3 linked regions of the Xenopus tropicalis genome follow. The protein of the gene in region 1 purifies or fractionates together with the protein of each later gene. This does not show direct contact. Links are inferred from orthologs where the notes say so. Each region holds a gene or a part of one and is shown in the gene's direction. Other genes may lie near its edges. The genes, in order: litaf, nedd4l and nedd4.

Region 1 (4,039 bases):
CTGCCATATTATCGTTTCTTTGAATGGACAGAGGGTGATATGCAATGTTTATTATGCCAGTTTGGCCATCATCTGAGTTTGACCTCTGAAGCTGCATAGGGTGCTATGAGAAAGGTTCCATATGGCACCCTTTGCAGCTTCAGAGGTTCCCACCAACAGGATCCTGGGTGCAGTGCCTTAGGATGAGTCTGTGCTACAAATTACAGATATACTATTATTACCAGCACATCATTAGGCCCTGGCATTTCAAGTACACAGAAGCCCAATCAGCCCCAAAACACTGTGACTGTCCGTTAAAAATTGACAATAGTCCTCCTGGCATTTGCCAGAACCTACAGTTTGCCTGTACACCATACCTCATTGGTGTTTATTCCATTTTTAGAAAGACTTTCCCTTTCCGGTCATCATATGGTGAGAAGTGGAACTGTGCAGGCCGCAGCTTAGGGGCATATTTATTATAGAGAAAATTTGTCACACATCGCCATGTAAAAATGGCGTAAAAACGGCGTAATTCTTTTACGCATTTTTTTTCCACCGGAACTTATGGAAAATAATGGCGTAATATCCGGCGTTCAGATGGTGATCTTTTCCATTTATTTTACACAGCTTTTTTTCGCCGAATTAAGTTTTATACAGCATAATAAATACGCCCCTTAGTGTCCGATCACCAGCGATCCAACATGCTGGCTTCAGAGTAAACTGCCCCAGAACCAGCATACATGCCCAGATGATGGTAGGCAGGGTGTATGAAATCAGCACACTGACCAAATCAGGCCAAGTATGACCACAGTATGACTATAGTATGACTACAGTATGGCACAACAGTGCAGCTGCCTGCACCCCTCAAGGAATACAAACTCGCCTGAGCAAACAGAGACAATAAGCTCTGTCCTGCGAAACCTGGGACAGCTGGCTGGGCTGGAAACTCTATGCACATAACCTTCACCTTCGTGAGAACTGAAACTACTCCAAAACAGAAGCACACTTACTTCCGGTGAAAAAGTTTCGCTATTTCATGGCAAAGAAAGCGTACTATAAGGGGAGGAGCAGCGCAGCGTTGGGGAACTCGGGCTCCTTGCTTGGAACACGCACACGGTGTACTCTCAGCGCTTCCGGGCCAGCGTCGCGCCCCTCAGTTTAACAGCGGGATAGGGCGGTGCCTCGTAAGCCACGCCCGCTGCAAGTTTTTCTCCGTATGTTTCCAGAGTTGTGGGAGTACAGTCCCTAGCTTTAGTGTGCCTAACTTGGATCTGCTTGTCTGAAGCTTGTCGTTGCGTTCTCCTCTGGTATTAGACAGATTCAAGGGACCATTTCTGTCAAATTTGAGGTACGTGCCTGTCTCCCCTCACCCAAGGATCGCTTTCCACGTTTACTCTATAAAGTTTTCACACTTCGAACTATGAACCGCTGCTTTCCAGCTGTGGATGAAGATGAGGAATGCTGGGAGTTGTAGTCCGGCCGCAGCTGGCGAACTGCACGGGAACGAGTGATGTCACTTGCTCTGTGTTAGAAGCAATCGCTCTTTCTTACCGATACGCTTGCTTGGCTGTAATGTTTCTGTCCGTGTATACATACTGGGTTGTGTATGTGTGTGCAAGTGTGCGCCGGTAGCGCAAAGATGGCAGCTGCTACAGATGTGTGTGTGGGTTGGAGCTGGAAAGTTTGCTATGCAGGGAGCTGTATCCGGCCGCAGCAGCAGGGTGAGAGTATCATGGTGTGTTTGTGGGTACAGGTATTTAGCAACACATGGGGCTCGATGATCGCATTAAGCTGAGCCATATTATCATTGTATTATTATTTTGCCTATTACATATTTCCTATCAGCTAGCCCTAACATTGTTGGCATTTGGACACAATAAATTGGTTGAATCATCTGTTATTAAACAAAATCACTATAATTATGATTCCTCTTGTTAAAATGAGAGATCTACCATTTACGGAAAATATGTTGTTTGCAATATGTCTATGAAGATTCTCATTCATCCAGGTCATGATATACAGTATCTAGTAGAATTAAGTCTAAAACAACTGGACTTTTCTGAGTTTTTTCCTTGAAAACGTTTCAAGATTTTCCATTTCTAACATTGGGACAGTGAAAGCCTCTTGTGTGAAATTATTCAACTGTACAACTGTACTGCTTTAAGAACAGAAGCCCTATGTAGGTATAGCCCTCTGTTTGCCCCTAAATTGCCTTTCTGGCTCCTTTATTTAGTCTAACACCTCCTCCTCCTAGCCCAGAGCAAGGGGAATGTGCAGTTGGGGCTAGGCACTCTGGTACCTGGAAGGTAAGTACCACTGCTGAGTGGAAAGGGCTTTAACCTTAGCTGGACATGGCTACTATAGGCCTGTGCAAATAAAATTAGTGACTTTTTTTTGTTAGTTCTTTAGATGCTTCTTTAACAGCAGCATAAATCTATTTGGCATGATTCCTTTGCAGTTTAGAATACACAGAATGTAATTTCAGCACAAGTTCTATTAATTCTGCTCCTATTGAAAAAAAGGTCTTTGTGTATGTATATACTATTTTTCTATATGTATTCTGCCCCTTTAAAGGGCTAGACAATGTTAAACCAATTCATTTAGTCTAACTAAAAGGCATAAAGAAGAAATACTGAAATCTGTGACATTGTCCAATAGTAACAGCTATAGTGTGATAGAGTTTACAAGGTGGAACTTTCATGTACCAGTCAGGCTGACATACCTTCCTCTATGAATTGCAGATTATTGAATATTTCATACAAACATTCTGCTAACATTCTCGGGTTTCTAAATTGGGACTTTGAGCCTGTCACAACTAGCCCATCTGTACTGCAGGAGTCCCTAATCCTGTTGCGCAGTTTACAGAATGTGTGTGTACCAGTATTATTTTAAATCCCAAACCCTATGCCATAATTTGGAAAGTGCTGCTTATAAATTGCAAAGTAGCAAGTCCTCACTGGTGTTCAAAATAGGCCCTGGAATTTCAAGTACACAGAGGGCCAAACGGTCAGTCACTATTTAGTGGGCAGTGGGGGGCTATGGCATCTTAGAGCACTACCTCTAGCACTAGCCAGAATCCACAGATTGCCAGTCCAGGCCTGCAAAATAGTACACTTTCCAGTAAACTGAAAAGAAAAGCAATGATCCAGTGTTCATACTCAGTGTATTCAGATCATTTTTTCCACCATTATAGCATCATTGGGCTTAAGTAAAACATAAACAATTCCTCAGACTGAGAGCCATAATTATCTCCTGTGACTCATAGGGACCATTTCCCCACCCCTTAAGGTGGCCGTACATGTTCAGATTTTAGTCTTTTTCCGACGAAGTTTGGATGTCAGTCATACATTTCAAGGGGATGTTTACCTTAAAATTAACGTTTATTATGATGTAGAGTGTGCTGTTCTGAAACAATTTGCAATTGGTCTTCATTTTTTTTATGTGGGGTTTTTGAATTATTTTGCTTTTTGTTTTAGCAGCTGTCTGGTTGCTAGGATCCAAATTACCTTAGCAACCAAGTAGTGGTGTGAGTGAGACATTGGGTTATAAATAGGAAAGGGCCTGAATAGAAAGAAGAGTTATAAAATATGACAATAATACATCGGAGGATGTTCTGAACATGAAATAGTTGCAGACACCAAACCTACAAAAGTTCCATTGTAGGTCCCCCAAGGATATTGTCCGATACACAAAACATGCATGTTAGCCGACCAAAATTTTTAACCTGACCGATTGGCTAAATGACCAATCACCATAGTAAGAAAATGATTGGGACGATAATTCAGAGCCCACACATGGTCCAAAAATCTTACAAAATCTCGTTTTTATCGGTGTGTATACGGCCAGCTTTAGCCTGGCAGAGTCATTCAACCCCTGGGACTTGAAGTTGCTTTTTAAAGGATCTATGCAGTGGCCACTGTGGAAAGCAGAGGAACTTCAACTCTATAAATCCATCACTTCACCACAGTACAATATGAGCGAGGGGTTGAATGACTGTCAGCCTAACTGGGGGTGGGCAGTGGACTGTGTGAGTCAGAAGCAGGTCATTGTGTTTTCTCTA
Region 2 (4,273 bases), on another chromosome or scaffold:
CTGTATAACAGAGCATTCTGTCACAGTGGCACAGATCCTATCTGATCCCCCCATTGTAAGCAGCAGTCCTGCCCTGCTTTATGGCTGAGATTCTAGCTATCTGTATAACAGAGCATTCTGTCACAGTGGCACAGATCCTATCTGATCCCCCCATTGTAAGCAGCAGTCCTGCCCTGCTTTATGGCTGAGATTCTAGCTATCTGTATAACAGGGCATTCTGTCACAGTGGCACAGATCCTATCTGATCCCCCCATTGTAAGCAGCAGTCCTGCCCTGCTTTATGGCTGAGATTCTAGCTATCTGTATAACAGAGCATTCTGTCACAGTGGCACAGATCCTATCCTACCATGATTACATTTCTTAGGTTGGTGGCCCATGGGGCGATTAAGTCACCTGTGATAGATCTCTGCTACTGCAGGTGACTATCAACTCTGAAATGCTTTTCCACTGGCAACAACAGAAGTCGCTGGTGGAAAAGACTTGTGAGTCTTTTCCGGCGATTTCGGGAAATCGCGCCGCCGTGTGTGCCATCCCACCGGTGACTTACATGTTCGCCGGCGGGATGGCGGGTCATGGCAACTCGGGGAGATTAGTCGCCCGCGAACAGGGAGTTTTGCCGCGGGCGACTAATCTCCCCCGTGTGCCAGAGCCCTTAAGTGTGAAGACACACGGAGCTACTAGTAGCAGCTACTTGTCATGGCTACTAAAATAGCCAATGCTGATCATTTACTGATAATCGTCTCTTTGTGTGTCTTAGCAGAGACAATTCTCAGTATTGTCTATGGCAGGAGAGTTTCTGGAGTTTAGTAGCTGCTACTAGTAGCTCAGTGTGACTTCACCCTAAAGGTATATATAATTCCAAATAAAAGCAGTGTTTGTTTATTGCTACAGACACACTAGGAGCTAGAGGCTATAGGTGCAGGTCACTGCTTCCTGACACAGACGCCGCCTCTCTCTCAGTCTCCAGCAGACGGCGCTGTTGGATCAGGGACAGGGAAAGGCTGCACACTGCGCTTCCTCCCTCACACACACACTGGCACATCCAACCTGCCGCCCTCCTGCTCCTGACTACAACTACCAGCATCCCTTCAGCTGTTTCCTACTACATTTCCCAAGCTTCCTGTTTGTCCCAGCAGCAGAGGAAAAGCCTCAGAGCGGCCGGACGGTCCCATGACACTGACTGTGAGGAGCGATTCAACCGAACTTCCCCGGCGCCCTGCCCCTCCCCACTTTCATTGAGCGTCCCTGAGCCCTGGCCACGCCTCTCTGGGCTGGGCGGCTCCTGATTGGCGCTGGGTGGGCGGGGCCCGTGTGCGTTTGTGTGAGAACTGGGACTGTGCCTGACAGGGATCGGGGGGACATCGTGTGAGTGGCGGGTCTGGCTCTTCCTCTCTACCCGCCGGCACCGGCACGGACCTTATACCCGGAATAGGCACCTAGTGAGCGGCAGCTGGCCAGCGCCCTCCTATTGTTTCCCATCTACTGTGCGCAAAGGATTAGGGGTAATTGCACCCCAACTCTCCCCATGGCGGCTGAACCCATTTATGGACTCTCAGAAGACGATGTAAGTACATGTTTGTGTCTCTTTAATTGTGTGGGTGGCACAGGGGGGCAAGCAGAGGCCGTCCAACCACAGCTGCCAGCTGAAGGGGCAACACTTCGCCCAGACTGGCATAGGGGCAGTAGCTTCTGTCATTGGGCAGAACTCATACAGGAATTGCCTGGCATCTCCCAATGGTGGGTCAGTGAGAATAGGTAGTGCCATTGGTACCAGTGCTGTTAGGTGCAGCAGGCTGGCATACTGCTGGGCAAGGCTGGCATACTGCTGGGCAAGGCTGGCATACTGCTGGGAAAGGCTGGCATACTGCTGGGCAAGGCTGGCATACTGCTGGGCAAGGCTGGCATACTGCTGGGCAAGGCTGGCATACAGCTGGGCAAGGCTGGCATACAGCTGGGCAAGGCTGGCATACTGCTGGGCAAGGCTGGCATCCCTAAGTACATGTGAGAAGGAGAGGCTGGCATCCCATAGCCCTGTAAATCAGAATGGTCTAGCACCCACCCTATCTATACTGTCACTGGCACCCTGTGTATGTTGGCATCCCATCAGTAGCCTGTAAATCAAAGGGGGCTGGCACCCACCCTATCTATACTGCCGGTGGCACCCACCCTGTATACTGCTTGGGCATGAAGGCTGGCACCCTGTATACTGCTTGGGCATGAAGGCTGGGCACCCTGTATACTGCTTGGGCATGAAGGCTGGGCACCCTGTATACTGCTTGGGCATGTAGGCTGGGCACCCTGTATACTGCTTGGGCATGAAGGCTGGGCACCCTGTATACTGCTTGGGCATGAAGGCTGGGCACCCTGTATACTGCTTGGGCATGAAGGCTGGGCACCCTGTATACTGCTTGGGCATGAAGGCTGGCACCCTGTATACTGCTTGGGCATGAAGGCTGGCACCCTGTATACTGCTTGGGCATGAAGGCTGGCACCCTGTATACTGCTTGGGCATGAAGGCTGGGCACCCTGTATACTGCTTGGGCATGAAGGCTGGGCACCCTGTATACTGCTTGGGCATGAAGGCTGGCACCCTGTATACTGCTTGGGCATGAAGGCTGGCACCCTGTATACTGCTTGGGCATGAAGGCTGGCACCCTGTATACTGCTTGGGCATGAAGGCTGGAACCCTGTATACTGCTTGGGCATGAAGGCTGGCACCCTGTATACTGCTTGGGCATGAAGGCTGGGCACCCTGTATACTGCTTGGGCAAGAAGGCTGGCACACTGTATACTGCTTGGGCAGGAAGGCTGGCACACTGTATACTGCTTGGGCATGAAGGCTGGAACCCTGTATACTGCTTGGGCATGAAGGCTGGCACCCTGTATACTGCTTGGGCATGAAGGCTGGCACCCTGTATACTGCTTGGGCATGAAGGCTGGCACCCTGTATACTGCTTGGGCATGAAGGCTGGCACCCTGTATACTGCTTGGGCAGGAAGGCTGGCTTCCCATCAGTAACCTGTTGGCATCCCATAAGTACCCTGTTGGCATCCCATAAGTACCCTGTTGGCATCCCATAAGTACCCTGTTGGCATCCCATAAGTACTGCTGGTTGAGGCAGTTTGGGACCATCTGTAGTACTGGCATCTGTGTGACTGGCTGCGGCTGGGCAACATCCCGGGAGTTCAACTGCTTATATGTACATTGGCATGCCAGGAATACTGCTGTTTGGCATCCCGTCAGTCTGGCACAGCATTGGCACTGCAGCATGGGGAAGAGCCCCCTCTTTGTATTGCTTGGTCATATGGGCAGTATTGCAAGCTGGCATCATACTAGTGGCTATATATATATATATATATATATATATTGTAAAGTGCCAATGCCTGATTGAATAGTTTAAATGAACTAAACCAGCTGGGGGTGGTGGTGTATCTGGTGGTGTATCTGGGTGTGTTGTGGGGGTGGGGGGTGAGTCTGAGCTGCTATTGCTAGAATGCAGAGGCGCCAACTACCTATAGTGCCAGGGGCACTACCAGTTCTCTGGGCAATATTACTCTATGGTCCCTGTTTGAATGATTTCAGGTGCCCCCGGTACCTGCTGTGGGTGTTGGCTCAGTGTGTGACGCCTATGGAATGCATAGTGCACATGGTATGTGCGCCCGGGAGTTGGAGGTGAGGCTCCTGCAGGGCATTTCTTTTTCAGCCAAGCGCTGACATTTGTGCAGGAATTCATTCGAAAGCTTGAATTCTGGGCTAAGGGAGTGGTGCCTCCCCTCTCTCTATATGCGCCCACCTCACTGTGTGGGTACTTGACACTGGCAGCAGCTCTGCCCAGGTTATATATATATTACTGTAAATAACATTGTCAGATTAAGCTGTATGTAGGTTATGTATGTGGCGTAGCCCAGCAGCAGATTGCAGCACAGGATTTACACTAAAATCATTATTATTAGGGCAGAGCTCTTTAGATTGATAGAGTTGGGGGCCCTTATGCATCCCCTTAGCTCATAAAAAAGCCCCACATATATAAGACATCCTCTATCAGTATCAGGTATATCTAAAGGTGGCCATACACGGCACTTGTTTGGCGAGGTTGCCAAGCGGGCGGATCTTCTCCACATATCCCTACCTACAGGTTGCCAATATCGGCTATATAGGCACAGCAGTTTCAGGGACACGTCAACGAGCCGATGCGGTACCCGATATGACGGAAAATTCAAACCTGCCCGATTGAGATCTGGGGGATTTCAGACCAGATGTCGGTTGGGGAGGC
Region 3 (4,169 bases), on another chromosome or scaffold:
CTTCACATTTCACTAAAAGGGTTGACTTTATAATAACATTATAAGGATTTGCACACAAACTGTATACCATGCATGATTCCTGTAAACTCTGATACTCTGCAGTCAGTGGGGATTTTCTCACTGGCTTCTAATTGTGTTTTGGCATGCTCCTGGTTTACTTATAGCCAAACCCCATGGGTCTTGTGGAAACTGCAGGAAGATTTGGAATGGTTTAACCAGGCCAATTTCTTCTACATTTATTTTCTATTTCAAAGATTAAAACAAAACTGAATTTTATATGCTTTAATTCAGTTGACATTTTTCTGCAGAAAGGATTTTGTCTAATTAAGTTGCTTTAATTGACTAGGCCTTGTTTAGATTTAAGGAATTCCAATCCAAACGTTTACTACAGGTATAGGTTCTGTTATCTGGAAACCCATTATCTAGAAAGTTCCAAATTACGGGAGAGCTACCTGCCATGAACTCCATTATAAGCAAAGAGAACAATGGGAAGGTAGCAAAATAATAAGAAATCCAAGTCTGGCTTGGGACTCCTCCAGTTACAAGGGAGTAGGAGAAACAATAGGTTACCTGAAAGCAGTTCTAATATGTAGCGCTGGCTCCTTCTGAAAGCTCAGACTCAGGCACAATGCACTGAGATGGCTGCCTACACACCATTATTACAACTGAAAAATACATTTGTTGGTTCAAGAATAACACTTAAAATGGTAAAGTAAATTATTTGCTATGTAAACAGTGTTATTTATAAATAAAAAGTACACCATAAAAATCATGACAATCCCTTTAATATTTAAATAATTTTTTGGCAGACCTAAGGTAAGGAGATTCAAAGGAGATCCCTTATCTGCAAACCCCTGGTAACTAATATTATTTATCCAACATTCTCCAACAATGGAATTTTTAGTAAAACCACTAGGTGGCACCACAGGACAGTTGTGAGTTACAAAGTTTGCTTATCAAGCCTACATTCTGTTTTTTAAATTTATTTATTTTATATATTTACTGCATTACATTTTTTGTAAGTATTTTACATTATGTATGCCTATGTAAATGCCATTTACCATTTCCTGTAGTCACCTAATACATTATTTCTTAAGTTATACAGAACTTAGAGGACACTCTTGTTTTATAAATATTCCTGTTGTTAAAATTAATATGACCACTATAGATTAGTTTAAATATATTAGTTGAGGCACAGTCTGTTTAGATGTAGTTTTGCCAAAAGTAAAATAATAATTCCCCATTTTAAGAGAACATATTCATTTCAGTTAAGATTGTAACTAAAAATGCCACTATAAAAATAAAAGTATTTTCTGTTATACTTGAAATATATAATAACAGGTACCAATTTCCTGCAGTTACTACTGCAGTTTACACGTGTGGATGGGCTTTAGAAATTCAATCCCAACGCCGATGCTCGATTATGTGGACCTTCATTCCTTGAAACTTCCTGTAACTTTATATCTATGGGTAAAAATATGAGAGGCTGGGAATTGCTTAGGAACACATAGGCATATTGATTCAAATGGGCAAGTGTTCCGATCTGGTACAGAAACAAAAAGTAATGCAAGAGGTCTGTTGATCTTGGGCAGGACTCATTCATGCAAATATGGGAAAGTAGAACTGAAACACGCTTGGCAGTGTTTCAGCCAGTATGCTGCAGTAAAGCTGAGCGTAAAGGTCGCTGGAAATCAACTGCCTGGAAAGTGAATGCAGTTGAAATAGAAGATATCCAAGACGGTGCAGAGCTAGGATCCTTGGAAAATGTTTGTTTCATGACGTGCTTTGCTGTACCCTTTTGCTTGTACTTTGCCTCTTGTTGACTGGGACACATTCTGCCGCTGTATGTGTATTTTCTTGCACTTATTATAGATGCTTTGCTGCTGCTTTTGGTTTGCATTTGGAGAAAGGGAGCTCTATATATTTAAATCTATAATATGTTCAGAAACAACAAATGGCTCGGCGGTTAAGACTTCACTTTGCAACTAGGAGAAGCAACACTGATCCCTTACCAGAAAGCTCTGGAGATGGCTTGGATAGTAATATTCATATGTGCTTTAAAAGACTCTCTCCAACAACTGCACCCGGTGTGATTCAAATGAGGCTGTCTCCGAGGCAAAGTGTGCAGAAGTCCTCTTCCCCAGAAACTATTCCTATACATCAAGGTCATTCTGTTTCTCCACCATGCAAAAAAAGCACTTCAGTGCAGATTTCTTTACAGCCAAGCAGGAATACTAGATGTCATCAATCTGGCAACACTGCGCCTGCTATGGAAGATATTTGCGTCGTCAGTTCTTACAAGGATGGAATTAATTCTACTATGAGCAGGAATTATAACTGTCAACCCACCATAAATGACACCTGCATCAGTAGTAGTACCTCAGCTGAAAATGGCAGTTTATTAAGCATTTCTGCAAGTGACAATGGATCATATAGTAGCAACAGCAGTGACTATGGCTCCTGTGCAAGTACCGCAAGTGATGCTGGCTCGTGTGCTAACAGTATAGTAAGTGACTGCAGTAGCTGTACTTATTCTTTAAGTGACAGCAATTACTTAAATGTATTACCCAATGGTAATGCCCTGTTCTTTAACCCAGAAGAAAACTGTGAGTTTTTTAAAAGTAAACTGGAAGAACCTTTGCCTATAAATAACTGCAAGTTCCATTTTGACCTGGATCACTCAGAAAAAGAGGAGGTCAGAATTCCTGCAAGGAAGAAAACAAGAATTCCATTAAGACGCTGCTCTTCATTAGTTATTTTTCCTTCTGACACTCCACCAACATCTCCAACTAGTCTAGTCCCTCCATTAAGCAGGGGCTGCTATCAAACTTCTTACCAGCTTATGCTATCCTCTAATGATTTTACACAAAAAGAGGAGCAAGCAGCCTCCAAGGGGTCCCTTTCAACAGCAGTCAATGGGGTTCGGCTTTCCAAAAACACCTGCAATGTTGGTGAGGTTAGAGATGTTAAGCCGCTTTACTTGAATGACAAAGATGATGGACTGCCAAATATTTGCAATTCTGTTGCAGAACACAGCAAACTGCATGAGGATAAACCTCAGCTGAACTCAGATGCACGGCACTGTCGGCTGGTGCGCAGCACATCCGCATATTCTCCCTCCAATAAAACTGTGGAATGCCAGATGGGGAGAAGCTCAGAGCAGGGATACAAAAATATTCACAAGTGCCAATTAACTCATGTTTTTCAAAGAAGTGTCTCTGAAGGTCCCCCACAAAAACGGTCCTCTGCCTCTAGCCTTAAATGTAGACATCCAAAATCAGGGTCCTCTTATTTGCACATACAGTTTGCCCCTGGAAACGAAAGCAGGATTAGTAGCTATAAGAAACAATCTTTAAGAAGCCCCACAACAGAACTGCCTGGTAAGCCTTCTGTGAAATTACTTAAGGTAAGCTTATTTAACATATTAAATTACATTTTGGGCCACCTCATCAAAATTAATGTTTTGCTTTTGCATATTTGCTTGTTATCCTTTTTATATTTATATTTCATCACCAGCTCTAAAGAGGGATTTTTGGTAGCTGTGTTTGTTGGGGGGAAGAAAAAAGATCAGGTGCTTCATTTCTTTTACAGACTCCATGTAAATGTACTAAATTTCTGAGAAGTCCCTAGCTGTTTCTCTGTAAACACTTAGCAATTACATTTAGTGTATCACACAAGTGCTCTTCTGACCCCATGGCATTTGTAATTGAATAAGCTTATTTTGGGCAAGTTTTCTCTTCAAACTGTGCAGTTCTGTGCAAGTCTTAAATTGTGAATGTGTTCTGGCCAGCTATAGTTCAGCATTGTGCACCGGTTAAAAATAAACAGCTCCCAAAATATTTCTCTTGACTCCAGTTAGTCTGGGTGTGTATACTGATATGCTGTGTGTGGGTTCAAATTTAACACGTTGATATTAGAGTAGCTTTTAGTAATGCCAGCTATCTGTACACAGCAGTCATGAAATTAAATCAGAGCTTTACTCAGGGTCTGTAGGCACTGAAGGTTTTGTACGTACTTGCTTAGGATCAGGTTGCCTTCCTTAATAATCAACAGCTTGTTAAGGACTGCTTTCTAAAATCTTCCCCAAACCATCTTATTGTAAAAAACTTCAAGTATATAGCATTGCAATTGTGTGGGATGTAATTGGAAACTATTGGCTACATAAAAAA

Evidence for each region.
Region 2: the proteins of litaf (region 1) and nedd4l purify together in Homo sapiens (affinity purification with western blotting; 3 studies listed by BioGRID and IntAct, counting the BioPlex papers as one, with this or other methods). This does not show direct contact. The link is inferred for Xenopus tropicalis from reciprocal best matches to the Homo sapiens genes LITAF and NEDD4L.
Region 3: the proteins of litaf (region 1) and nedd4 purify together in Homo sapiens (co-immunoprecipitation; 4 studies listed by BioGRID and IntAct, counting the BioPlex papers as one, with this or other methods). This does not show direct contact. The link is inferred for Xenopus tropicalis from reciprocal best matches to the Homo sapiens genes LITAF and NEDD4.

The regions. Positions count from the first base shown.
Region 1 is NC_030685.2:36,370,478-36,374,516, forward strand, and holds the start of litaf (lipopolysaccharide-induced tumor necrosis factor-alpha factor homolog), read left to right. Parts: upstream 1-1,200; 5' UTR 1,201-1,327; intron 1,328-4,039.
Region 2 is NC_030677.2:201,923,087-201,927,359, reverse strand, and holds the start of nedd4l (E3 ubiquitin-protein ligase NEDD4-like), read left to right. Parts: upstream 1-1,384; 5' UTR 1,385-1,525; coding exon 1,526-1,564; intron 1,565-4,273. UniProt on the Homo sapiens protein: E3 ubiquitin-protein ligase that mediates the polyubiquitination of lysine and cysteine residues on target proteins and is thereby implicated in the regulation of various signaling pathways including autophagy, innate immunity or DNA repair.
Region 3 is NC_030679.2:100,448,028-100,452,196, forward strand, and holds the start of nedd4 (E3 ubiquitin-protein ligase NEDD4), read left to right. Parts: upstream 1-1,291; 5' UTR 1,292-1,954; coding exon 1,955-3,406; intron 3,407-4,169. UniProt on the Homo sapiens protein: E3 ubiquitin-protein ligase which accepts ubiquitin from an E2 ubiquitin-conjugating enzyme in the form of a thioester and then directly transfers the ubiquitin to targeted substrates. Specifically ubiquitinates 'Lys-63' in target proteins.